Linked DNA regions of Callithrix jacchus. The protein of the gene in region 3 interacts with the protein of the main gene of each other region in a biochemical or structural test. Links are inferred from orthologs where the notes say so. Each region holds a gene or a part of one and is shown on either strand. Other genes may lie near its edges. The genes, in order: RXRA, GTF2B, RELA, PARP1, ING4, TLE5 and DPF2.

Region 1 (3,500 bases), on a different chromosome or scaffold from region 3:
GACGAGCCAGCCTGTGCCCCCAGCTGTCCCCTCCTCCTGATTAAGGGGAGCTGTCATGGGCAGGCGAAGACGTCACTCCAGACAGGAGGGCCACCCGGGAATTCTGAAAACCAGCATCGCTCAACAGCAATGGGAACCGAGGCCCTGTTCCCAACTCCTGCAGCTCCTGGGCCCGGAGCCAGGAGACCCCTGTGAGCCACCCAAGCCCCGTGGGGTGTGGCAGAGTGTCCCGAGAGCCCGGTGGGGAGGCGCCTGGCTGGGCTCATTCTAGTTCTTGCCACTCAGGCTGCCGCCTCAGGAAAGCCACTGCCCTGGGCCACAGACAAGTAGTAACAGAAATAAGGAGGTGACAACACATCTCTTAGGCAGAGCAGTGACAGGCTGCGCCCCAAAGTCCAAACAGGCCAGGCAGAGAAGGGCAGGGTCAGGGCTCAGGCTGAGAAGAGCAGCTGCGTCCAGGCGGAGTGGCCGGACTGGGCGGGTGCGAAAGATGGGCCCGCAGGCCTAAGTCATTTGGTGTGGGGCTTCCAGCATCTCCATGAGGAAGGTGTCGATGGGCGTGTCCCCAATGAGCTTGAAGAAGAAGAGATGTTCCAGGCACTTGAGCCCAATGGAGCGCAGAGCCGGCAGGCGGAGCAAGAGCTTGGCGAACCTGCAGGGAAGGGGTCCGGTGAGGGCCAGGCAAGGGGCACAGGCAGTACTGTTGTGGCACCTGGAGGCCTCCCTGGGGATGGGGCTGTGTCTGACAGCCCAACCTCCCTGAAGCTGGTCTGTAGCCCAGGGCCTGTCTGTGCCAAGCCCCCAGAAGGAAGGAGGGGAGGCTAGAAGCAAACAGGCGGCGGCAGCCAGAGCCAGGAGAGTGAAGGGAGATCCCTGGGGCCGAGGACAGAGAGGAGGGGTGGGGCCAGACAGCGGCGGGTGGGGGCCCGCTGAAGAGCTTCAGTAAAGGAGTTAAACATTGTGGGCGGCTGGGTAGCTCACACTCGTAATCTCAGCACTTTGAGAGGCCAAGGTGGGAGGACAGCTTGAGCCCAGGAGTTCAAGACCAGCCTGGGTAACACAGTGAGACCGTGTCTCTACACAACAAAAAGAGAAAAAAAGTAGCTGGGCCTGGTGGTGCACGCCTGCAGGGAGGCCCGCTTGAGAGCCGACTGTGGAGGCTGCAGTGAGCTACCACCGCACCACTGCACTCCAGCCTGCGCGACAGAGCAAGACTGTGTCCTAAAAAATGAAAAAATGTGGGCCACAGGGACCGTCAGCGGGATTTGCAGCAGGGGAGAGTTGCAGGAGTGGACGTATCAGCATCTCCTCCAGCTTCTGTAGCCGTCCCAGCAAGAGACAGCAAGGCCTGTGAGGGAAAGGGGTGCTGAGCACACTGGTGAGTGGCAGGAATGGGCAGGGCACTGGATAGGCAGTCAAGAAGTCAAAGGGCATGGGGGGTGGTGTTCGGGCTGCGCCCCCACTGCAGGGGGAGCCAGGCCTGACCTGGGAGCCGTGTACCAGGCAAGCCCCTTCCCATAAAGTGTCAGCACCCCGTGAGTGTCTCCCCAGCACACCTCATGCAGCACTGCGGGCACCAGACCAAGGGCCACCTCTTCAGCAGAAATAGCTCTTCTGGAGTTGGGCACAGCATGGTCAGAGAAGACTGGCAGGGAGGGAGGCACCATGCGTTGCTCCTCAGGGCCCGGCCCACCCCTGGGGAGTTTCCTGGGGCAGGGACCAGTGCGGAGGCAGGGGAGAAGTCTGGGGCTCTGGGAAGGGGTGCAGAGGGCCAGGCATGAGGGCAACAGCTACCACAGAGGACAGGGTGCTGTGGAGACAGGGCCAGGTGTCCCTCCCGGCTGCCCATGTCTGCCCCAGGGCCCACCTGGGTCTCTCCACACAGCCCCACCAGGGGCTGCAGAACCTCATTAATTATTAACGAAGTCTTTATTTCAGGGAAAAGCTCTGTGGTTGGCTGCCTCACAGTTCTTGTTTTAAAGGCAAAAACAACGCAGAGGCTGGAGTTGGGCCAGAGAACAAGCTGTTTTCTGCTGAGCTGGCGAGATGGGCCAGGGCAGAGAGCCAGGAAAAACAAGCCGCCTGCCACCCCCTCCTGTCCTCGTCCTCCGGGAAGTTTCACTTTAAACCAAGCCAGATGAGGGCCGAGCAGGCAGTGGGGACACGGTTAACTGTGTATGTGCCGGTGGCGCCAGGGCCTGGGTGTCCTACGGGTTTGGGGGCCCCCCTCACCCCACTCCTTGCCCACAGTCTGAGGATCAAGAGGCCGGGAGAAGCCTCTTTAGAGAGAAGGGGCAGACTCTGGAGAGCTGACTCTGAATCCCAGGAATCCACAAGTTTCTCTTCCTGGACACCTACTGCGCACCCAGCAACGTGGACTTGGAGATGAGAGGCTCCCAGCCCTTCTGGGGCCCACTGCCGGGTGGGGGGAAAATGAACTCCTCCAGGGGGCCATGGTCACCTATGCTGTACACACTTGTAGAGAATGTTTATTACGTGTGAACATCAGGCCATCTAGGCTACACATGCTTGTGAAGTACCTACTGTGTGCTGGTGTCGCCTGGCCTCTGGTGGTTCTGCTTGGCAGGGGACTGGGTGGGGGTTGAAGCACAGCCTTCATCTACCTACTAGAAAAAGACAAGCACCTACTACGCTCCAGGTCTGAGGTAATCCTTCCAGCAGGGATACATACGGCGTGAACCTGTGGGTCATGCTCACCACGGCCACTGGCCCGGAGCCTGCTCAGGACCTACTGCCCAGGACTGGGCCTGGGGAGGCTGCCACCTTCTCATTCACATAAAACAGCCTTGCAGAGGGTGGGGGCTCTGGAGACAGCCCGGATCTGGGGTCTGTGGGGGGCGGGGCCCACCTTCCCGGCTGCTCTGGGTACTTCTGCTTGCAGTAGGCCTCCAGGGATGCATAGACCTTCTCCCTTAGCGCCTCCACCTCGGCCGGGTTCGAGAGCCCCTTGGAGTCTGAAAGGAGGAGAGGCCACAAGTCAGAACCCTCAGCTGGGGCACATCCTGGGCACCTGCCCTCAGGACCCAGGCCTGTGTAGGGTCTCCCAGGCTGTGGCACGTCCTGGGCACCTGCCCCCAGGACCCAGGCCTATGTGGGGTCTCCCAGGCTGCCCTGATATGGGCAGAGCAGGTGGTGTGAGGGATGCCACAGGACATGAACCCAGAGCCCACTGGCAGGGAGCGAGTGTGGAACCCGAGGCCAGGCCAGGCTGCTCTGGGCCCAAGCCCGGCTCTGCCACTTGCCAGCCATGTGACCTTGGGTCAATCATTCGCCCTCCAGAGACTTGTGTCCGGAACCTGCTGCTTTCAAGCTGCCGCAGGGACTGACAATGGACGCCTCTGCTGCCCTTGGGTCCCAACCCTGTAACACGGATGGGCACTACCAATGCCCCCCAGGAGCACCTGGAGTCCCCAGAAGCCACCCTCAGGATGCTGGAGAGTGCTGAGCTCAGGCCCCAGAGTAAAGAGCCTAGAGCGAAC
Region 2 (3,500 bases), on a different chromosome or scaffold from region 3:
GAGCGTACCAGTAAGCATAACAAAGAATAAAAAAGAACCAGAGACATGCAGCTTCTACATTAGATTTTAACATCCAGAAATTAAAATCTGTTGATCTGCTGCTACTATTAATTTACCAGCATCTTCTCTGCTCAATAAGCTGAGAAAATCACATATTTAGAACATTTTAATCTCTCAATCTGGTACCTTTCAAGGTCCAAGCTCATCACTTTTTGTTTAATAATATACATATTAATAAATCTCACATACACATCCTTTCAAACTAGAAACTAAATATGTTGATGTTAACAATCGTTCTCAAAAGCTTTTGCTCTTTCCATGTATTTATTTAAAAAAACTGTATATATAAGAAAAATAATGGAAATCAAGAACCTCTATCAGCTTTATTAGCTGCAATGATTTGCATTATTTGCAATTATGTATAAGTTACAAGTAACATGTAATTATAACAAAACTTTAGTTTGAAAAATGTTTTATTCAGGAATTACATACTTTCAAATATCTTCCAAAATAGTTTCCTAGATTGCTACAAAAGAAATCTGATAAGAAATTTAAATCATTAAATATGTTTTACTACTATATACATACAGAATGCCAAGCAATAGTAGTCAGCCCTGGAATGCGTACCGTCTTGTTCTTCCTCACGAAAGGCTTGACCCATCATTTTGTATAGGCTATGTACAATAGGCAAAGTTCTGTATTCATGAATTTGACTTTAGCTGCCTCAGTTTATAGCTGTGGTAGTTTGTCCACTGGGGTGTCAAATTTGAAGTCTGTAGGAAACAGATCTGGGGCTCGAGGATAGATAAGTCTGTAGGACTGTCTGATTGTAACATCAGCAACACCAGCAATATCTCCAATTTCTAAAAGACAAAAATCAAAACATTAACTGTCACTTCCATCCTACCTCCTTTTTACTACCTGCATTGTAATTTGTGAGATATGACAGTAAAAAGTGCCAAACTTAAAGATAAAACCGGAAGTGCTAATTTCTAAAAACTAATAATGGAAATACATACTAAAAGGTGGAAAGTGGGAGCTAAAGTTAGTAACAATAAAAATGGTACAAGTAGTTACTACTTTACAGGGCTGTCAATGTTTTAAAGGGTTTAACTAATATAAAACATGAAGCCAGGCGCAGTGGCTCACGCCTGTAATCCCAGCACTTTGGGAGGCCGAGGCGGGTGGATCACGAGGTCAAGAGATCAAGACCACCCTGGTCAACAAGGTGAAACCCCGTCTCTACTAAAAATACAAAAATTAGCTGGGCATGGTGGTGCGTGCCTGTAATCCCAGCTACTCAGGAGGCTGAGGCAGGAGAATTGCTTGAACCCAGAAGGCAGAGGTTGCGGTGAGCCGAGACCGTGCCATTGCACTCCAGCCTGGGTAACAACAGCGAAACTCCGTCTCAAAAAACCAACCAACCAACAAAAAAAATGTGAATAGTCTTCATATCTTAGCACTAGGGGTGTTATATTATACTGGATATCATATTTAGAACTGCTCCTTTTTCTTTATAAATCTTTCTGAGGATTACAAAAGTACTCCACAGATACATTATTGTAAAGAAATTCACTTTATATTTCTGTGTTTGAAAGCTCCCATGTAAAATCTCCCCTCGCTAACTTCTGTTAAAAGGTCCTTATTAAAAACAAAATGTGACACTATAAATATTGTTCTATAATTTTTTTCTATGTAATACATCAGAGATCAACAGCTATTTATTAAACCATATGTACATTTTTAGATTTTTTTCACTGATACAAGCACATACTTAAGCAAGTATTTTGAGCTCACATGAACATTTCTTCTGTTATAGAATCCTAACAGATCTACTTTTACCCTTTAAAGTCACTATCCCTTTTTTCCTTTCAAAGTCATTAAAAGAAATAACAAAGGACTGCCACTAAAATATCTGGTTAAGTATTATGAATGCTTTATTAAAATGGATTTTTAAACATCATTTATTTATTTAGAGATAGAGTCTCACTCTGTCACCCAGGCTCACTACAACTTCTGTCTCCCGGGTTCAAGAAATTCTCCTGCCTCAGCCTCCTGAGTAGCTGGGATTATAGGCACCTGCCACTATACCCAGCAAATTTTTGTATTTTTAGTAGAGATGAGGTTTCACCATGTTGCCCAGGCTGGTCTCAAACCCCTGACCTCAGGTGATCCACCCGCCTTGGCTTCCCAAAGTGCTGGGATTACAGGTGTGAGCAACCATGCCCAACCTAAACATATTTTAATACAAACTCATTTTACCACCTTTTCAGTTGATTCAAATCAGTGAGATTCTAGTGATTTTCACTGTGAATGCTTCCCATCACTGTGCAATTAGCTAATTTTAAATTTCTTTATCTCACTGCATTATTCTAGATCTAAATACCAATAAATGCCAACAATTTGACTGTCAATTGCCTGCTGTGCAGGGAAGAAAAGGACCTTAAATTCAAAGATATTTCATATAAAGCTAAAAAGCAAAAAGCACCAGGATTAATGTTTTTGTGTTGCTCATTAGAATAAACTTTACAACTAGGAATGTGCCTCAAGAACCAACTGTCTAGCTCCGAGTTCTCAATTTTATTAAAGATTCAAAATTTCCTTAAAACATGAGTGAAGGCCAAAGGGAATGGACAATGGCTCATTTAAGTAACTAATGATTGCCTTCCTTTCTCTAATTATTCCTCTGTATCATTTATGACTTTTATCAACATATAGCCTAAGCTGAAGGCTGCTGTGAATAGGATATTACAAAGTTATTGAGGCCAGCAATTCACTAACTCATTTTTTTGTGTGTTTTGAGACAAGAGTCTCTCTGTCTCCCAGGCTGAAGTACAGTGGTGGGATCTAGACTCACTGCAACCTCTGCCTCCCAGGTTCAAGAGATTCTCGTGTTTCAGCCTCCTACAGGTGTGCACCACTGTGCTTAGTTGATTTTTGTATTTTTAGGAGAGACGAGATTTGACCATGTTGGCCAGGCTGGTCACTGCACCTAGCTTGTGAATTTCTTTACATGCATTTGCTCATGAATAATTTCTATAAACCTCAAAGATTTGGAAAGGAGTAGTCACTTCTAAATTTAAAAGGGAGTCTTTGGGCCAGGCGTAGTGGCTTGTGCTTAAAATACCAGCACACTGGGAGGTGGAGGTGGGCAGGCGAGTCACGAGGCCAGGAGTTTGAAACCAGCCTGGCCAACATGGTGAAACCCCATCTCTATTAAAAATCCAATAATTAGCTGAGCGTGGTGCCACGTGCCTGCAGTCCCCGTTATTCAGGAAGTTGAGGCACGAGAACCGGAAAACTGAGACACGAGAATAGCTTAAACCCAAGAGGTGAAGGTTGCAGTCAGCTGAGACTGTACTACGCCCTCCAGCCTGGGCAACAGAGCAAGACTGTTTAAAAAAAAAAAAAAGGAAAAACAAAAAGAAATCCACTTAATACTTCTGGTGAAAGTTTTCCTACAACACTAAATTCAAACATGGTTTTAGAAGGCTATTTAC
Region 3 (3,947 bases):
CCTGCTCCAGATCTCGCTTCTTCACACACTGGATTCCCAGGTTCTGGAAACTGAACACCCCCACTCACCTGTCTCTTGCAGAGCTGGGACCTTCCTGCCTTGCCCAGCCTGCTCCTTCCTCCCCTGCCCACCCGCAGATCATCGCTCCATACCTAACCCCCTCCAGTGGCTTCCCACTATGCTGCAACGAACCCTGTCCCTCCCCTCCGCTGACAAGCACCTCTGCGCCCCCGCCCCTGCCAGCCTCCCTTTGGGCCATCTGCTTACCACCATAGGGGCTTCCTTTCCCTTCTCTAACACAAGACACTCATTCCCACTTCAAGGTCTTAGCACTTGTTTGGTCTGCTTGGAATGTTCTTTTTCCTACTTTTCTCCTCCTCCTCACCATTCAAGCAGTAGCAGAGGGAGGCCTTCCCTGACCTCCCAATCTAGTCATTACACTAGCTCCCCTCACTCCCCGACCCCAGGTTATCCTTTCATCCTATGACCTTGTTTTATTTTCAGCACTGAAAGTATTACTCTGACAGTACCTTGTTTACTTATCTGTGTATTTATTCATATTTTATTTGTTTATGTATTTTTAGACAGAGTCTCACTCTGTTGCCCAGGCTGGAGTGCAATGGCTCAATCTTGGCTCACTGCAACCTCCGCCTCCCAGGTTCAAGCCAATCTCCTGCCTCAGTTTCCCAAGTAGCTGGGATTACAGGTGTGCACCACCACACCCGGCTAAGTTTTTGTATTTAGTAGAGCCAGGGTTTCACCATGTTGGTCAGGCTGGTCTCGAACTCCTGATCTCAGATGATCCGCCAACCTCAACCTCGCAAAGTGCTGGGATTACAGGCATGAGCCACTGTGCCAGGCTATTTACTTGGGTGTCACTCTGTCACTCAGACTTCAATGCTGTGACATGATCACAGCTTGCTGCAGCAAGGACCTCCTTGGCTCAGGTGGTCCTCCCACCTCAGCCTCCCACCTCAGGTAGTCCTCCCACCTCAGCCGGTCCTCCCACCTCAGCCTCCCACCTCAGGTGGTCCTCCCACCTCAGCCTCCCAAGTAGCTGGGACTATAGGAACATGACACTATACCTGGCTAATTTATTTTTTTGTAGAGATAAGGTCTCATTATGTTGCCTTAGCTAGTCTTGAACTCCTACGCTCAAGAGATCTTCCTGCCTTCATCTCCCAAAGTGCTAGGATTATAGGCATGAGCCACTACGCCTGGCCTGTATATTTTTTTTATAGTCTGTCTCTGTCAACTGTAATGTCAACTCCGGGGAGAGTACTGGTTCAATGGTTTTCTTTCTCAAACAAGAGACATGACTCTGACGGACTACCCCTTCCAGCTACAGGGTCAGGGATTCAGAAGTGATTAGGGACCCATCCCTATCCCCTAGAGCTCCTATCTGCTAGAGTAGAGGTATAAATGATAATTTTAAAACAAAGGGAGTTTACTTGCAGAACTATGTCAGAGCAAGGAGTGAGAAATTGTCCTGTGTCCAGAAAGGAGTAACACTGTAGCGTCTACCTCACAGCCCGCATCCTGTCCCCTCAGGCTGGGCCTCCTAGACTGCAGGGAGCTCACCTGTGGATGCAGCGGTCCGGGCAGAGCTCAGCCTCGTAGAAGCCATCCCGGCAGTCTTTTCCTACAAGCTCATGGGGGTGAGGCCGGTGAGGAGGGTCCTTGGTGACCAGGGAGATGCGTACTGTCCCTGGCCCTGTGTAGCCATTGATCTGTCCAAAGTACAGAGAAGCCCAGACATCCAAACCTGACTCCCAAACAGAGGGCTGGGGCTCGCAGTCCCTACCCCGCACTCCCCGGCTCAATGCTGACCTTGATGGTGGGGTGCGTCTTGGTGGTATCTGTGCTCCTCTCGCCAGGGATGCTGCCCGCGGAGCGTCCCTCGCACTTGTAGCGGAAGCGCATGCCCCGCTGCTTGGGCTGCTCAATGATCTCCACATAGGGGCCAGAGGCCTGGGCTGGCTCTGCCAGGGGACACCGCAGACCCATTAGGTGGCTGCCCCCGCTGCCCTACCCCAGGGAGCACCTCCCCGACCACCGCGGGGGCCACTTACCTGCCGGGAAGATGAGGGGGAACAACTCTGAAAGGGGAGAGAGATCAGGGTCAGCACACACCCACTGCCCATCCTCACCGGGGGAATCTGCTCCCCACGAAGAGAAGCCAGGCTCCCTCCCAGGGGAACGGAGTCAGGACCCGTTCCCTAGAACAGGCGGTGAAACTAAAGGGTGGGGAGAAGGAGCCAGAAACACCTGCTTCTTGAGAGAAAACGGGGTAAGGAATCCTTCCTCTCCCGAGGGCAACTGAATTAGTTTTCCTTTCATAAGGAAAACTGGGGGAGGGCACGCCCCACCTCCGTCCAGAGAGGAAACTGAATCAGATGCGTTCTTCCCTAACAAGGAAACGAAGCCAGAGCTGCCCCCATAGACAGTGGGGGGGAAACTGAGTCAAGGCTCCCTCCGCTGTCCCACCCAGGGAGGATACTGAGTTAAGGCCCTCCCCTCCACCCAGAGGGGAAACTGAGTCAGATCCCTCCCCGCTTGCCCCGCCCCGCGCCACCATCCAGCAGGCAGGCCGCTCCCTGCGCAGCGCCCATCAGCGCAAGAAGGGGCGGAAAGCGGCGCGGGGGCTCCCGCCACAGCCCCGGCGGCCCCGGCGCGGCCACCCCGCGGGGTCAGAGGGCGACCTCACCGTCCATGGCCGGGGTCCCGGGGGCGGGGCCGGGGTCGCAGCTGGGCCCGCGGCGGGCGCTACAGCCTAGCCATTCGCCAGAAGCGGAAATGCGCCGCGCGCGCCCGCCGTCGCGTCACTGCCAGGAATCCGGCCGCGCCTGCGTGCTGCACCGCGGCGGCCCGGCGCAGGGGCCGAGAGCAAGTGCGCGCCGCGCGGAGGACGAAGAGGCCGCGCGCACAGCCGCCGCAGGGGGCCGGGGCCAAGTGCGCGCCTCGCGGGGGACGAAGAGGCTGGCGCGGCAGGCTGCTGGGCTAGTTTCCGAGTCCCGGCCCCACCTGGAGGGCGTGTCCGTCGATTACTCACTTTATTTTTAGGGGATTTCGGGGCCCCTTCCCGCGATCGGTGGAGTTGGTGATGTCACTCTGGGCCGGGTCTAGAGCTAAGCCAGGGCTGCTGGGCTGCGGCCACCCGTCCCGCGCAGGGAAAGGCCAAGCCTGGCCTTCTGCGCCCGCAAAGGCCAGGTGGTTGAAGTCTACGCGGGTTTCCTGATCGCTAAAGGCGCCTTTCGGTGGTGACTGTCTCAGAAGCACGTTAAAATGTCCTAGCCACCCCAATCTAGATGCGGCTCTGGGGAAGGGGAGCGGCCGGGCCTCCTCGCCTGACAGTATAGACTAGCTCTGCAGAGCCTGCAGCCCGGATGGGACGACCGAGGCCCTCCCGCCGGCGAGCTGGCCGAGGGCTCGCCCCTCTCACGCTAAAGAGCCAGCTTAAGATGCAGCCGAACTGCATTTTAGACCCTGAGCGACCGTGGGAGCAGGAGGAGCCCGGGGGTAAACCCCGGAGCCTTGTCTCCGCAGCCTGGCGCTTGTCTCAGAAGGTCCGGGACCCCCAGGGGACACTTGAATCAGCAGAGTCACGACGCCCCCGCCCACCCCTGCGTTTGCCCTGGACCTCTAGCTAGGGCTGACCACTAATTCTGTCATGTGACCCCCACAGTGCCGGTATCGCCCCCAAGACCAAACCGCGTACGTGTCGGGGCTGGGGCTGGCGCACCCCCACCCCACACCTCCTCCCCGAAAGAGGATGCTCCACTGCAGGGGGCGGAGTCTTCTCCAGATGGAGAAAGACTTTATTTTTTCTCTGAATTCGTCTTAAATTAGGAAATCATGTGGGAATTGGAAAAGATTGGAAATTCTGACTTGTTTCCCAGGCTCTGAAGAAACAGGAAGAGAAAAGTGAAAATAGAGTTAGCACCCCG
Region 4 (3,500 bases), on a different chromosome or scaffold from region 3:
CAGTAAGCAATATGTGATCCCTTGTGTTTTATGTATCAATTACAGAACATCTGTACCTTTTTAAAGGGTATGTACATGCACGAGGCAAGTTTTCAGCGTGGCAGTACTTGCTGCTTATGCATCGAGGCTGTTGCCCCCAGGCACTTGGCCCACAGAATCAAGGCCAGCTCCCTAGCTTATCCTCAGAGCCCTGCAGCCTCTTTCTGCCACCCTCTTCCTCCTCCTCACATACCACTTTCCTCTCCTCACCCACCGCCAGTGTTGCTTATACTTTTTTTTAGTTGAGGCATTAAAGCAGAACTCATTCTTTTTAGGAGTACCTAGCAATAGGGCAGCTAGCCATGGTGCCCCACATCCCACCAGGTGCTACTCGGATGGCTGTGCTTAGGCAGTCTTCTGAGTCTTCAGTTCCCAGCAGGCTTAGCAGGTCACTGCCTCCAAGTATATGCTAGCATTCCCTGTCTTATATCACCTTAGCACGCCTCTGGCATAGCTTAGCTCCTGTGTTAAAGTTCACCTTTATAGACTGGGCACGGTGGCTCACGCCTGTAATCCCAGCACTTTGAGAAGCTGAGGTAGGTGGGTCACCTGAGATCAGGAGTTTGAGACCAGCCACCTGGCCAACTTGGTGAAACCCTATCTCTTAAAAAAAAAAAAAAGTTTACATTCATATAGCTGACTCTCAGTCATGAATGAGATACTTTCTCAAGGGCATAAACTGTCTTTTTAACCAAACTGTAATTAGTAGCACATATTAGGGTGGTCAGTGTGTGCTGGAAAGAATCTGTGACCTCTTATATCCAGCTGGCACCCTGAATGTGGGCACAGCTGGGAAGGGCAGTTTTTTCATTAGATGAAGACCTGGATCTTTCCCTGAGCCTCGTGTATTTGATATTTATTGAGTGATCGTTTAGAGCAAGGCCCCTTGTAAATCACTTGGAGTGAAGATTGAACTGTGCTGATGGAAGAATTTGTTGTGAATACTGTAAGGCTCTCTGCATTCATTTTCCCTTCTTCTAAAAAGGGAAGGGAATACTGTGATTTCCTTTTGGGTAATAATCTCCCAGTGCATATAGTGTTGGGGGTTTTGGAGTTCTGGAGTAGGTGTGTGACCCCACAGAGCCCCATTAACTCTTGAAGGGAACAACTCAACAATGAGGCCAGGTAGGCTGTATTCACACAGCAGTTCCAGGGGTGATTCCCTGGCCTAACTGTCCGCTGATTTGTTTTTAAGGGAAAGATTTTTCTCATAAAGCAGCCACAATACCAGCCCTACTATAAATGTAAAAATATCAGAAATAAATACTATAGCCCCAGTAATAGAATCTTTCATCCTAGAAGCCCCGCATTTTTCTATTGTTTGTTGTAAGAAGAAAAAACTAAAAAGAAAAGAGAAAACTCCATTGTAAGAAGTAAAAAAGAGATTATTTAATTTGGACAAGCCAAATCCTTTTTGGTCTATGGGGTGGTTGCTTCAAGGGAGAGCTGGCTTCTTAACTAAAACTAAATATTTTTTAGGAATTCCGAGAAATCTCTTACCTCAAGAAATTGAAGGTTAAAAAGCAGAACCGTATATTTCCTCCAGAAACCAGCGCCCCAGTGGCTGCCGCACCTCCGCCCTCCACAGCCTCGAAGCCTGCTGCCGTGAACTCTGCTTCAGCAGGTATAGCACGTGGGGCCCCAGTCTTAGAGCTGCTTTGCAGGAATCATTTGTCCACTATTTGATGGTGGTATGGAGCTGGTAAGAAAGTACCCTTCGGGGGTCTCTCTTTGCTGACCCCACCGTGGGGAAGCCTTGCCCTGCAGGGCTTTGACTTGTTACACGCCCAACCACAGCAAGGCAGGAGGATATTAAGACTATAACATCGGCTGGGAGCAGTGACTCACACCTGTAATCTGAGCATTTTGGGAGGCCAAGGCAAAAGAATTGCTTGATGCCGGGAGTTCGAGACCAGCCTGGGCAATATAGCGAGACCCCATCTCTACAAAAAGTCTTAAAATGTTCCAGGTGTAGCAGCTTGTGCTTCTAGCTCTAGATATTCAAGGAGGCTGAGGCAGAGGATTCCTTGAGCCTGGGAGGTAAAGGCTGCAGTGAGCTATGATTGCACCATTGCACTCCAGCCTGGGCACTGGATCTCTGAAAATAAAATAAGCATGGTAAAAAAGCAAACGACTCTTATTCTGGGATGCTAGGAGGGGGCTCCTAAGAAAGGCTGGGTCGACAGCCTTACCTGGAATAGCACGCAGGTCTCCTTCCTGACTACACTGCAGAGCAGCTTGCCAGGCCTCACTCTTTAGGCCATCTGGTGGGCCTGCCAGTCATCCTGGCCCTGGTGTGATGCTCGAGTCTCTGTTGTGTGCAGAGGGAGTTACGCCCCAAGCCAACCAAGACAGTGAGAGCAATGTGTTCTTTTGGCAGAAGTGACCTGCTGCTTATTTTCTCAGCGACATGTGGCATGGTCTAATGGTGAAGGTCACAGTTTGGTGGGTGGAGGATGAGGGTTCCGTCCTTGAACGTAAATCTGTTGTTGACCTCTGTTTCATATTCTGAGAGGGACCAGTGGTCACTGCAGTGTGTGTGTGTGGTCATCCCAAGTCCACTGTGCTGCTGGCAGCCTTGGGTCCAGGTGCCCACCTGAAGAGCTAGGTGGGGGCTGGCATTCTGACCCCTCCTTGGAGGGTTTCCTCCTCTGTTTTCCCCTGACTTGCAGTTCAGCACAAATCAATAATTTTGTTCTCTGGAGACCACACCAGTTTCAACTAAACTGTCAGTGTTAACTAGTTGTCTGCCTTTACAGGGAAGGCAGGAAGGACTTTTCTTTGCAGCATCTCCAGTTCTGGAAATGTGTCACTAGCACTGTTATTTGCTGTGAACAGAAGGCACACCTCTGTCCAGGCCTTTCTGGCCTGGGTCAGTGCATACCTGGCTGCTGCTTTTCGCCTAGAATCAGTTGGCTCACCTCAGTGTGATTGTGCTGGCCACTGTTTGGAGGGGCTATCGTAGACATGTCTTACTTTTAAAACGGGGTTAATTAATAAGAATTGCAATTTGTTTGGGAGGATAACAGAAGGAATTGGGGGGATCATGTGGAAGAACCCCCAATTCCTTCTGTTACCCTCTTCCCATCCCACTCCAGCCTCCTGGTCCCTCATCCACAGATGCAGCCTTCCTAGCCCGCCCATGGAGCTGACCTTGGGTAACCCCCACCTACCTGGTTCATGCCAGCAAGGCTGGCCTGGCCATGGATTGGCATTTTGTGGCTTGCTCCCTGCCCAGTCCTTTCTGTGTCAAGGGACATCTGTAGGTGCTCAGATGGCAGCTTGCTGTCCCATCCTGTTTTCTTCCAAGCATATTTTCATAGGCTTCCTCAGGAGCTCGCTGCTTGGCTCATCGGCTTCTCCACCTCCCCTTCCTGGGGAGCAACATCAGAGTTGGCCTTGCTGAATGATTTTGTCCTTTCATCCCCAGGTAAGCCGTTATCCAACATGAAGATCCTGAC
Region 5 (2,967 bases), on a different chromosome or scaffold from region 3:
TACAAAAATTAGCTGGGCATGGTGGCTCGTGCCTATAGTCCCAGCTACTAGGGAGCCTAAGGCAGATGAATCACTTGAACCTGGTAGGTGGAAGTTTCAGTGAGCTGAGATCATATCACTGCACTCCAGCCTGGTGACAGAGCAAGATTCTGTCTCAAAAAAAAAATAAGGGAATAAATCAAGCTAATATTTGGTATAGTAGTACACATGTATAACAGAAATAAATCATTTATTGGAAATTAAGTGAAAGATGTTTTATGGAGAAAAGCTGTACAATTTACAAAGTTTTGGAGACCCCTGGTCTGAGGCCCACCCTTCAGCACCTCTGTCCTTCCCAAGTTGAGAACTTGTGGGTTCTCGGGCAGAGGCATCACTCTGGTTTCATGTCGGGTCCTAATTGTGGCATGCCATCATCTCACATTGTATCCAACCCAGAGGATGCAAAAAGAAGTGCTCGGCACATTTACTCAAACAATGTCTATACAATAAACACAGCAGGCCAACATGTATAGCTTTTATTTACCTACCCAAGTTCCTTTTACATGTGAGTTATCTGCATTCCACCTTGCCCCCTCTCCCATTCACAAGGCCAGGATGAATCCTCTCGGCACAGAGGAAGGGGTTCCCCTTCAACTACGGCCAGAGCCTAGATAACCTGGGGGATCCCCCACCATGAAAAAAGCAGGAAGGGAATGGAGAAGACAGTGTTGATCATACCTAGCCCTCACCACAGGAGGAGGGGGAATGAAGAGGTCTAGGGGACTGCCCCCATGCTATACCCCAGTCCTTAAGTACAAAGCAAGGGGAATGAAAAGGACCCTCCCTCTGAAATACAGCACCAACCTCAGCATGGAGGCAAAAGGACAGTGGGCAAGACCACGTCCCTTTGAAGGGAGAGGACTGAAGGAGAGCACATACCGTTAGTGGCTGCAGCACCCCTCCCTACCAGGGTTTGATGCAGCCTCAGCACCGGGAGTGGGGAGAGGGGAGGAGAAGGGATGACAGTACTGTGCCATCCACTTCTCCCTGAACCCCTGGCCCCAGCACAGGCATTCCTCTGCCCACTAGCCCAAGTCAGGGGATGTGGAAGAAACTGTGTCGGAATCCAGGGCCCTTATCTATTTCTTCTTCCGTTCTTGGGAGCAGCGTGGGCAAAACCTGAAAAACAGAAGGGGAGAGAAAAGTAAGTGAAAGGGAGAATGCCCTCTACCACTCACCTTAGGGACCCTCCAACCCCTGCTACTTACCATTTCCCCCGAGGCTTGGTTGTCAGCCCCACACAGGCAAAATGGAACCACTCAATGGAACACTGGAAGAGGAAGAAGGAAAACGTAGTCAGGGGCCAGGATGGGCCAGAGGAAGGAGAGAAAGCCCCTCCAGATTCCTTAGGTATGTCCTGTCCTTTACTCCATCCTTTTGGAGAGTTCTTGGAAGCCCCAAGGCCAACCAGTTCCCACCATTTTCCTTGAATTCTTTTTTTTTTTTCCTTTTTGAGATGGAATCTCACTCTGTTGCCAAGGCTAGAATGCAATGACCATCTCAGCTCATAGCCACCGCCACATCCCAGGTTCAAGCAATTCTCCCACCTCAGCCTCCTGAGTAGCTAGGATTACAGACACACGCTGCCACGCCTGGCTAATTTTTGTATTTTAAGTAGAGACTGGGTTTCACCGTGTTGGCCAGTCTGGTCTCAAACTCTGACCTCAAGTGATCCACCCTCCTCGGGCTCCCAAAGTGCCGGGATTACAGGCATGAGCCACCGAGTCAGGCCTTTTCTTCTTCTTCTTCTTCTTTTTTTTTTGAGACAGAGCCTTGCTGTGTTGTCCAGGCTGGAGTACTGTGGCACGATTTCAGCTCACTGCAACCCCTGCCTCCCAGGTTCAAACGATTCTCCTGCCTCAGCCTCCCGAGTAGCTGGGATTACAGGTGTGTGCCACCACACCCAGCTAATTTTTGTATTTTCAGAAGAGAAGGGGTTTCACTATGTTGGCCAGGCTGGTCTCGAACTCCTGACCTCAAGTGATCTGCCTGCCTTAGTCTCGCAAAGTGCTGGGATTTCAGGCGAGAGCTACCATGCCCAGCCCGTCTTCCTTCTAGTCTGAAGTCCCAGTACTCAACTGTGGGATTTTCCCTCTTGTACCCGCTCCCTTCATGCCCCTCACAACCCCCCATCCTGAGGCAAAATGTTTCTCACATCAGGGTTGTCACAGCCAATCATCTCTCCATAGGAGACCTGGTGACAAAGGCAATAGGTGGGTTCGTTGGGATCCACAGGCATATCCAACACATCAGAGGGGTGGACACTGCCAAAGGTCACTGAGGGCATCCCATACTCAGGACTTCTGCATGCCAAGAGGAAGAGAAAGTGTCATCTACAGGAAGGGAAGCTAAAGCCTGAGGCTTTCAGAGGTGGCAGGAGATCCTGGTGGGGCAAATGATTTGTGGCTTCTCTTCTCCAGCAGATACCAACATGATAAGAAGAGTTCTTGGCAGAGATACAGAAAGTGGCAGGGGGCAGTGCAGGCTGGAAGTGGGGCACTGGGAGAGAAGGGGACGTCATCTGGCAAAGGGCTCCCTGATACACTCACGTGCGCACGAGCTTTAACTTCTTCTGGGCAGTCTTGGGGGCTTCTTCATCTGAGTTTTTCCCTTTGGAACGAGCACGAGCAGCTTTCTTCTCCTTTTGAGTCCGGCCTTCTAGGGAAGAGGGGGAAAGCCAGAAGGCAGGGAGACAGAAAGATGAGTTAAGTCCTCTTCTCTTCCTCTCTTTCCAACCTGTTGCCCCACTCCCCACCAGATGAAGAGCTGGCGTCTTCTCTCATTGAATCCTCGCCCCAACTCTCACAGCCCCGCCCCCCTCCTCACTCTTTTTGCCTTTGCTGGAAGAGCTGTCATAGTCACTTGATTCAATCTGTTTCTCCTTGAGATCAGCCTCAAAACGGGCCAGGTCTGTGTCCAGCCGCCGAA
Region 6 (4,117 bases), on a different chromosome or scaffold from region 3:
CAACATGGCGAAAGCCTGTCTCTACTAAAAATACAAAAATTAGGAGAGTGGTGGCGCGTGCCTGTAATCCCAGCTACTTGGGAGGCCGAGACAGGAGATCACTTGACCCAGGAGGCGGAGGTTGGAGTGAGCCGAGATTGCCCCTCTGCACTCCCGCCTGGGCGACAGCGTGAGACTTGATCCGGCCACCCAGGGGCTGTTATGCCTTGAACATCCAGTGTGTGCCTGATATGGCAGGGCTTTCTGGATAGCAGAAAGCCCAGGCCCAGCAGATGGAGACTCCAAAGCTCAGAGAGGGCGTCTGGCTTACTGGAGGTCACACAGCACTGCGAAGGCCATCTGATCTCTTCCCTGTGGAATCAGGTCAGCCCCAGGGCCCACCAGGCAGTCTCAAACCCTATGCTTCCAGGGACCCAAATAGAAGTTTCTGGGGCCTTCCTGGAAAGCTGGTTCCAGTGCTTTTGACTGTCGGGGTCTCAGTGTGCCCATCTTGAGAATGGGCACGACAGCCGGACCTCACGAGGAAGCACATATGGTCTTTAGCACACAGGGAGTACCCCGAAAGTTTGGATAGTTTCAAAATCGAGATTCCCCTTTCTACTTGGAGGAAGTCCAGGGTCCCTCCAGGATGGGCAAACTGCAGTCAGGAGAGGGCCCCCAGGCTGAAACGTGGGCCTCAGCGTGGCCTGACTTCCTCCAGACTCCCAGGTCTGCTGCGCCCCTCCAGAGCAGGGCACGTGGGAATCTGCATCCTTACACCAGGAGAGAGACCTGGTGCCCACCTCAGCCTTGCCCCTTCCTCAGTGCTGTGGATACTAACCCTGAGGAAATCCCTGACCTCTCTGGGCTTAAGCTTCTTTCTTTTGTTTTCTTTTTTTTTTTTTCTGAGACGGATTCTCACTCTTGTTACCCAGGCTGGAGTGCAATGGCGCGATCTCGGCTCACCGCAACCTCCGCCTCCTGGGTTCAATCAATTCTCCTGCCTCAGCCTCCCGAGTAGCTGGGATTACAGGCACGCACCACTGTGCCCAGCTAATTTTGTATTTTTAGTAGAGACGGGGTTTCACCTTGTTGACCAGGATGGGCTCGATCTCTTGACCTCGTGATCCACCCGCCTCGGCCTCCCAAAGTGCTGGGATTATAAGGGTGAGCCACCGCCCGGCCTGGGCTTACATTTCTTTAAGAGGACTCAATAGTTCCCTCGCCTTAGACCAGCTACATGGCAAACTCTTCAGAAAGGTCAGATTTCTGAAAGGAGAAGCACCTTGGAGAACGTGATGGGCGCTGGGAACCCTTTCTCCAAAACTGGCCAAAGACAGACATAACCAGGTTACAAAATGTGTTTTGGGGTTGGGGGGATGGTGAGTCCAGGCTCTAAGCTGGTTGGCGCAAGGTCTTTTATCCAGCGGGGGGTGGGGGGGGGCTTGGGGGAGACTGGGGAGGAGGGAGGGACTCTGAAGTCACACAGGTGGGTCTTTGGGCAAATTATTTAACTTTTTTGTGCCTCGGTTTCCTCCTCTACAAACTGGGGCTGTTTAAAGAAAGGAATTCAGTATTTGTCAAGCGATTCGGTCGGAGCCTAGCACACGTTATTTTCCCAATCTGCCGTCCGTGCAGAACAAGGGGGCTCACCCTCTCGGGCGCAGGGACCCCGACCCGCCCCTCACCTGTGGTACTGAGCTTGCAGGAGCTGAAACTCGTCTTTGATGCGGTCGCAGGAGTCCGAGGTGGTGAATTTGAGTTGCTGGGGTAGGTGCGAGGAGCCCTGTGGGGAGGGGGGCGCCCCGGTCAGGCCCAGGCGTGGGCCAGGCCCCCCTCAAGGGCGGGCCAGGAGGGAGCGGCCGCGCAGCTGCGGCGCCCCCCCTCCTGCCCCACTTCCTGGGCCCGTGTTTACCGCCCCTGGCAAGGCCCCCACCCGCGCTTCCTGCCCCCGCCTCTCCCCGGGGGAAGCTGAGGGGGTGGGTGCGCCCGGAGCCGCCCCGTCCCCCGCCACCCCCAGGCAGTGGGGGGTGCGTTTTAAGGCCCGCCCTAGGTGGGGGGCAGGGTACGCCCTCTACCGCCCCTCCAAAGCGCCGGGAGTGGGTGCCTCCGAGGGGGGTGGAAACGCGCCCTAGGGAGCCCCCTCCCCAAGTTGAGGGGCAGCGAGTCCCCCCTGCAAAGTCCCCTTGGGGAAGGGGGTCTCTCTCGGCGCCCTAAATCTTCCGGGGGGGAGCCCACCCCAGAATCCCAGCGCCCTTCCTCGGGGACGCGCTCTCTTCCGGGAGGGGGGACGCCTCGGATTGTCCCCCCCACCACAGGCCCCCAAAGGAGCCCCGCGCTGGAGGTGCCTGGCGGGGCTCCCGGAGATCCCCAGGCCCGAGGCCAAGGCCGTCCGAGGCCCTGCCTGTCCCGGCGGGCGGGGGGGGGGGCGCCAAGCCGGGAGCTGGGGGGGGGTTCGGGGCCCGGAAGCTGGGGGAGAATCGGGAACTGAGGGGGTGTCCGGGGGTCGGCGGCAGGACGGGGGTCGCGCGGGGCTCGGAGCCCGAGAGGGAAGCCAGGGCCCGGGAGCTGGGGGGGCGCGGGGCGGGGGCGCGGGGAGGGGGCGCCGGGCGGGCGGGCCCCGCTTACCGAATGCCTGCTTTGTGGAAACATCATGTCAGTCGCGGCGGGGGGCGCGGGCTGCGCCCCGGCTGTGCGCCCCGGCTCGGGCTGCTCGGGGCGCCGGGCGGCCGCGCCTTTGTCCCGGCGCGGATCGGCAGCTCCCGGGGCCGCCGCCGCCGCCTCCCGCGCCCGGCCTCGCCCGCTTCCTGCGCCCCCTCCCCGCGCGCCCGGCCCCGGCGCGCCCCGGGCCCCGCTTCCTGCGCGCCCGGCGCCCCTCCCCGCCCCTCCCCGCCGCCCGCCTCCCCGCTCCCCGGCCCCACCGCTATTGTCTAATGGCGGCGACGCCGGCGGTGGCCGCGGCTCGGCTGCTGCGGAGGCTCCGGCTCCACCTGCCGCCGCCGCCCGTGCCCCGTGCGCGCCGCCGAGGGGGGGGACGCGCGCGCCCGGGGAGGCCTGCGGATCCCCACCCCGGCCCGCCTCCCCGGGGCCCGCCCGCCGCGGTGACCTTGGGCCCGGCGCGCCCCCGCCCCGGGCCGCGGCCCCCGCCACCCGCCCCAGCCTGGCGGCCGGCCTGGCCTCGGTTTCCCCATCTGTCAGAGAAAGGGACCCGGCTGCCCAGGTCGAAGCCGCCGGCCCTGCGGTGGCACGACCTGGACGCGTGCCAGGGACGTATTCTGTGACCTTGGCTCTGGCTGGGCGGTGGTTCTCGCCGGGCCTCAGTTTCCTCTTCTGCAGAAAGGCAGCGGTCATGCCGCCTTCCTCAGGGAAGCCATTCTTTGGACACCTTTATGGAGGGCCTGTGTGCCAGGCCCGGCTGCTCCAGGGCCCTGGGGTGGGTGGGGGGGGTACAAGGCCCCTGCCCTGGTGAGGTGCCTGGAGACAGACAGAGATAAATTCAGGAGCTGAATTCCCAGCAGGTCAGATGGTGGGGACGCCTCTGCGGGGAAAATCGGCTGGGACAATGGCGGGGTAGGAAGGTGCAAGGTTGAACAGAGGGCAGGGAGGGTCAGAGAGGGCTTCCTCCTCCACAAACGGACCCCAAGGAGCGAGAACAGGGGATGGGGGCAGTGCCAGTCAGAGGCAGGACGAGCAGGTGCAAAGGCCCTGGGGCAGGACTGTGCCTGGCACCAGGATGCCCGGGATGGAGGCAGGGCCTGGGCCTGGGGCTTCATGCTGTTGCCCAGGCCCCCTGCCCCCAGCAGGGCTTCTGCCTGGGTGAATCTTTACTGCTGCGTTTTGAAATTCCGAATCATTTTCGAACAAGGGGCCTTTCAGTTTTCTTTTGTACTGTGCCCTGCAACTCTGTAGCTGGTGACACAGGCCAGTTCCAAAAGGGCTTGTGGGCCTCGGGGAGTACAGGGCTCTTGCTCTGAGTGAGGTGGGAGCCCTGGAGGGCTGTGGAAGGAAGAGGGACAGGACCTGGTGGTTTTTTTTTTTTTTTTTTTTTTTTTTTTTTTGAGATGGAGTCTTGCTCTGTCACTCAGGCTGGAGTGCAGTGGCACGATCTTGGCTCACTGCAGCCTCTGCCTCCTGGGTT
Region 7 (3,500 bases), about 330 kb from region 3:
GTACTCCAGCCTGGGCAACAGAGCAATATTCTGTCTCGAGAAAAAAAAAAATCTTTTAAGGTTCTTACGAGGAGAGTAAAATAAAAGTATAGCTGTAGCTGCTGATTGGTTTTTAAACTTTCTATAGACAAGAGCTAGAGGCCGGCACAGTGGCTCATGCCTGTAATCCTAGCACTTAGGGAGGCCAAAGCAGGCAGATCATGAGATCAAGAGTTTGAGACCAGCTTGGCCAAAATGGTGAAACCCCATCTACACTAAAAATGCAAAAGTTAGCTGGGCATACTGGCGTGTGTCTGTAAGCTCATCTACTCAGGAGCCTGAGGCAGGAGGATCATTGGAACCTGGGAGGCAGAGGTTGCAGTGAGCTGTCATGCCACTGCACTCCAGCCTGGGCAAAAGACTAAGACTCTGTCTTAAAAAAAAAAAAAAAAAAAAAAAAAAAAGATCTAGAGAACAGTGCTAATTTAGCTTGACATTTCTTGCTTAGAGAGCGTTAAGTTTTTGTTGTTGTTGTTGTTTTGTTTTGTTTTGTTTTAAGAGATAGAGCCTCCCTCTGTTCCCCAGGCTGAAGTGCAATGGTGTAACCTTGGTTTACTGCACCCTCAGCTTCCTAGGCTCAAATCATCCCCTACCTCATTTCCCCCAGGGACTTCGTAGGACCACAGGTGTGCACCACCGTGCCTAGCTGATTTTTTTTTTAAAACATTTTGTAGAGATGAGATCTCACTATATTGCCCAGGGTGGTCTCTCACTCTTGAGCTCAAGAGATCCACCTGCCTTGTCCTTTCAAAGTGCTAGGATTACAGGTATGAGCCACTGTGCCCAGCTCCCTTAAGTTCTTAAGAGCTCACTCTCATTCTGTCTTGTTCTCTCTTCATCACATTCTCCCCACACATACACTTAAGTGTTTCGTTCCCAGCCCTTTACCCCCAAGACTGTTTGCCTTACCTTCTGAAATCCCACAAAGCTCACAAGAGCTTTGACAGAACATCTCTCATCCATTCCCCCAAAACTGTTTCCAGCCTCTTTGCTCTGACTTTGCAGCCCTCACCAGCCTGGCCCTTTCTTCCGTTTGACTTCCAGTGTCAGTATCAATTTCCATCAACAGAAACAAAGGAGCTGCCTTAGCTTGTTTATCCAGTTTTATTCTGTGTGGTGAAGATGTGGCCGCCTCCTAAAGACAAGCCCACAGAGGCTGCCTTCTTCATTCTGCTCTCCAGCACGAGATTCGTGTCTACCTCAGACTATAGTCATTACAGCTCACTGAATCATGCCAGGCTATATTTGAGATATTGCCATCTCTGCATGTGGTATGTGTATTTTTTACTTGCTGGGCACATGCTAAGCTATGCAGTGGTCTATTGTCTGCTCACTGAAGGCCCCCGTCACATTCCAGAGCAGGGTTGTTGGTGTGGCCTGAGTTACGGACATAAATCCTAGAGACTGAATCTGTTCAGTGTCTCATGTCCAGTCTTTTTCTCGTAAAATCGTGATATATCAAAGCTCATCTGGTCCACCCTCTTCAATCTATAGAAGCGTAACCAAGGTCCACCCGGGTTATCTAAATGTCTGTGTTCATCTGGTGACTTGCAGGCAAGCCAGGTCTACTCTCAAGTCAAGTCTGACTGTATCTCAGACATCTTCATGAGCATTGTGGATACTATGAGAAAGAAATCAGTTCTGCCCTCAGTTTAAGATTGATTGACGCCAGGTAATGTGACGCACACCTCTCTTCCTGGACACTTGGGAGGCTAAGGCAGGAGGATCACTGGAGCCAGGAGTTTGTGTCCAGCTTGAGCAACATAGTGAGACCGTGTCTGTTTAAAAAAAAAAAGGATTGCTCGAATGTAAGTGTAAATTGTTAGAGTTAGTTTAACCTCCATTACCAAAGTGCTTGTTAAACCCTGCGGTATGAGAACAGGATAGCTTCTCTCCATGCTTCTTAGAACCAGATAACTCCTGGCACTGTTCAGTTTTCCAGTTTTCCACTTAAAGGTTTACCCTTGATTCAGATTTCAAATTGTCTCTTGATACCAAGAAGATTCTTTCCTATATAATTTGGTTTTGTGAGCGTGGAGAAGAACCCCAAGATGGGCCTTAGAGCAAACAAGTTTCTGATCAGTAACGGTGCTCAGTAGAAGCTTCAAGGAACTTCAGGTACTTGTAGACATCTTCTGTAAATATAAAATTAATTAGCTGGTTAAAAACCTATTTCAAAATTCAAGAGATATAAAAAGGCATGTGGAAGGAAGTGGCCTAGTCACCCAGTTTTTCTCCCTGCAGACGTGTAGTTTCTTTTCCAGTTTGTTACATAAATGACAGCTGTCTTTGACACTTCTCAGCAGTGTGCCTTGCTTTGCTTTTTTCCCTAGTTAACTTGAGATTGTTCAATATCAGTATGTGAAGAGCTCCTTTGTTTCTTATGGGCAAATAGGATTTCATTGTATGGATTTTCCATACTTTACTGAATACATTTTAATAAGTTCCCTAGACCTTAATGAACTCTTTCCCTCTGGAACAGATCCTGGGGCAAGGATGTGGGTGCATGTAGTTTATTTGGGATGTGATTCTAGGAAGGAGAGAATAAGGAGGGACTGTCCTCTGCTTCTCAGCATCGTAAGGGTTAAGAGAAATAACACAGCACAGGGCTGGGCTTGCGAAACACACAGAGTGAAACGTTAGTTCCTTCCCCCGCTTTGGGGGGTTAGACTTAAGTCTGATTAGACATATGATGAAATCTGTGTTCCTGATGGTAATTTGCTTGAAAAGTAATTCCTCATGATGGCCTAGAAAAGGGGCTTGGTGTCCCATGAGGCAGAAGTGGAGGCAAATAGAGTGGAAGAGACAGCCTCCCAGTCCCTTGAGCCTTCTAGAGAAGCAGATGGCAGGGGAGAGGAATAGTTCAGCACCCCATACTCCCTCTCCAACACACACGCCCGATTTCTGTCTTCCTTGCAGCCTTGGGGAGCAGTACTACAAAGATGCCATGGAGCAGTGCCACAATTACAACGCCCGCCTCTGTGCTGAGCGCAGCGTGCGCCTGCCTTTCTTGGACTCACAGACTGGAGTAGCCCAGAGCAATTGTTACATCTGGATGGAAAAGCGACACCGGGGTCCAGGTGAGGGTCCAGACTTGGGAGAAGGGGACTTAGGAGCATAAGGAGGAAGAAGCCTCCTCGTCTTAGGTGATGAGACAGGTGATAGGGTTTTCCCTATTGCCTTCTGCCTTTAGATGAATATGGTCTTCTTGTGATTAGAAACCCAGGGAGGATGAAGCAGATAGGTTGATACCAGCATCTTTGTTTTCTGCCCTGCTGAGGCCTTTGTGTGTCTGGAGAACTATGTGTTAGCCAAGGCTCCTAAACTTATATATCTCTTTTTCTTTTCCACAGACTGTTCCACCCAACTCCCTAGGCCCTCAGTGTCAGAATTCCTCCCTTGCTCTAGAACTTAAAGTGGGGCCTACTTATTTAGAGTATTTGGTATTATTTTCTAATACT

What was found.
Region 1: the proteins of RELA (region 3) and RXRA form a complex in vitro, tested with the Homo sapiens proteins (2 studies listed by BioGRID). The link is inferred for Callithrix jacchus from reciprocal best matches to the Homo sapiens genes RELA and RXRA.
Region 2: the proteins of RELA (region 3) and GTF2B form a complex in vitro, tested with the Homo sapiens proteins (2 studies listed by BioGRID and IntAct). The link is inferred for Callithrix jacchus from reciprocal best matches to the Homo sapiens genes RELA and GTF2B.
Region 4: the proteins of RELA (region 3) and PARP1 form a complex in vitro, tested with the Homo sapiens proteins (2 studies listed by BioGRID). The link is inferred for Callithrix jacchus from reciprocal best matches to the Homo sapiens genes RELA and PARP1.
Region 5: the proteins of RELA (region 3) and ING4 form a complex in vitro, tested with the Homo sapiens proteins (3 studies listed by BioGRID, with this or other methods). The link is inferred for Callithrix jacchus from reciprocal best matches to the Homo sapiens genes RELA and ING4.
Region 6: the proteins of RELA (region 3) and TLE5 form a complex in vitro, tested with the Homo sapiens proteins (2 studies listed by BioGRID). The link is inferred for Callithrix jacchus from reciprocal best matches to the Homo sapiens genes RELA and TLE5.
Region 7: the proteins of RELA (region 3) and DPF2 form a complex in vitro, tested with the Homo sapiens proteins (2 studies listed by BioGRID). The link is inferred for Callithrix jacchus from reciprocal best matches to the Homo sapiens genes RELA and DPF2.

The regions. Positions count from the first base shown.
Region 1 is NC_133502.1:182,994,507-182,998,006, reverse strand, and holds part of RXRA (retinoic acid receptor RXR-alpha), read right to left. Parts: intron 2,976-3,500; coding exon 2,870-2,975; intron 653-2,869; coding exon 505-652; 3' UTR 1-504. UniProt on the Homo sapiens protein: Receptor for retinoic acid that acts as a transcription factor.
Region 2 is NC_133508.1:126,082,252-126,085,751, forward strand, and holds the end of GTF2B (transcription initiation factor IIB), read right to left. Parts: intron 864-3,500; coding exon 730-863; 3' UTR 456-729; downstream 1-455. UniProt on the Homo sapiens protein: General transcription factor that plays a role in transcription initiation by RNA polymerase II (Pol II). Involved in the pre-initiation complex (PIC) formation and Pol II recruitment at promoter DNA.
Region 3 is NC_133511.1:122,752,141-122,756,087, forward strand, and holds the start of RELA (transcription factor p65), read right to left. Parts: upstream 2,801-3,947; 5' UTR 2,715-2,800; coding exon of another isoform or gene 2,708-2,714; 5' UTR 2,613-2,707; coding exon 2,576-2,612; intron 2,100-2,575; coding exon 2,073-2,099; intron 1,983-2,072; coding exon 1,831-1,982; intron 1,731-1,830; coding exon 1,582-1,730; intron 51-1,581; coding exon 1-50. UniProt on the Homo sapiens protein: NF-kappa-B is a pleiotropic transcription factor present in almost all cell types and is the endpoint of a series of signal transduction events that are initiated by a vast array of stimuli related to many biological processes such as inflammation, immunity, differentiation, cell growth, tumorigenesis and apoptosis.
Region 4 is NC_133520.1:22,865,382-22,868,881, forward strand, and holds part of PARP1 (poly [ADP-ribose] polymerase 1), read left to right. Parts: intron 1-1,518; coding exon 1,519-1,663; intron 1,664-3,469; coding exon 3,470-3,500. UniProt on the Homo sapiens protein: Poly-ADP-ribosyltransferase that mediates poly-ADP-ribosylation of proteins and plays a key role in DNA repair.
Region 5 is NC_133510.1:20,839,024-20,841,990, forward strand, and holds the end of ING4 (inhibitor of growth protein 4), read right to left. Parts: coding exon 2,866-2,967; intron 2,698-2,865; coding exon 2,589-2,697; intron 2,343-2,588; coding exon 2,195-2,342; intron 1,310-2,194; coding exon 1,248-1,309; intron 1,159-1,247; coding exon 1,119-1,158; 3' UTR 501-1,118; downstream 1-500.
Region 6 is NC_133523.1:2,836,650-2,840,766, forward strand, and holds the start of TLE5 (TLE family member 5), read right to left. Parts: upstream 2,635-4,117; coding exon 2,608-2,634; exon of another isoform or gene 2,607-2,607; intron 1,766-2,606; coding exon 1,668-1,765; intron 1-1,667. Other genes in the region: uncharacterized protein LOC128930549, read left to right, coding at 2,633-3,448. UniProt on the Homo sapiens protein: Transcriptional corepressor. Acts as a dominant repressor towards other family members. Inhibits NF-kappa-B-regulated gene expression. May be required for the initiation and maintenance of the differentiated state.
Region 7 is NC_133511.1:122,421,575-122,425,074, forward strand, and holds part of DPF2 (zinc finger protein ubi-d4), read left to right. Parts: intron 1-2,958; coding exon 2,959-3,119; intron 3,120-3,500. UniProt on the Homo sapiens protein: Plays an active role in transcriptional regulation by binding modified histones H3 and H4. Is a negative regulator of myeloid differentiation of hematopoietic progenitor cells. Might also have a role in the development and maturation of lymphoid cells.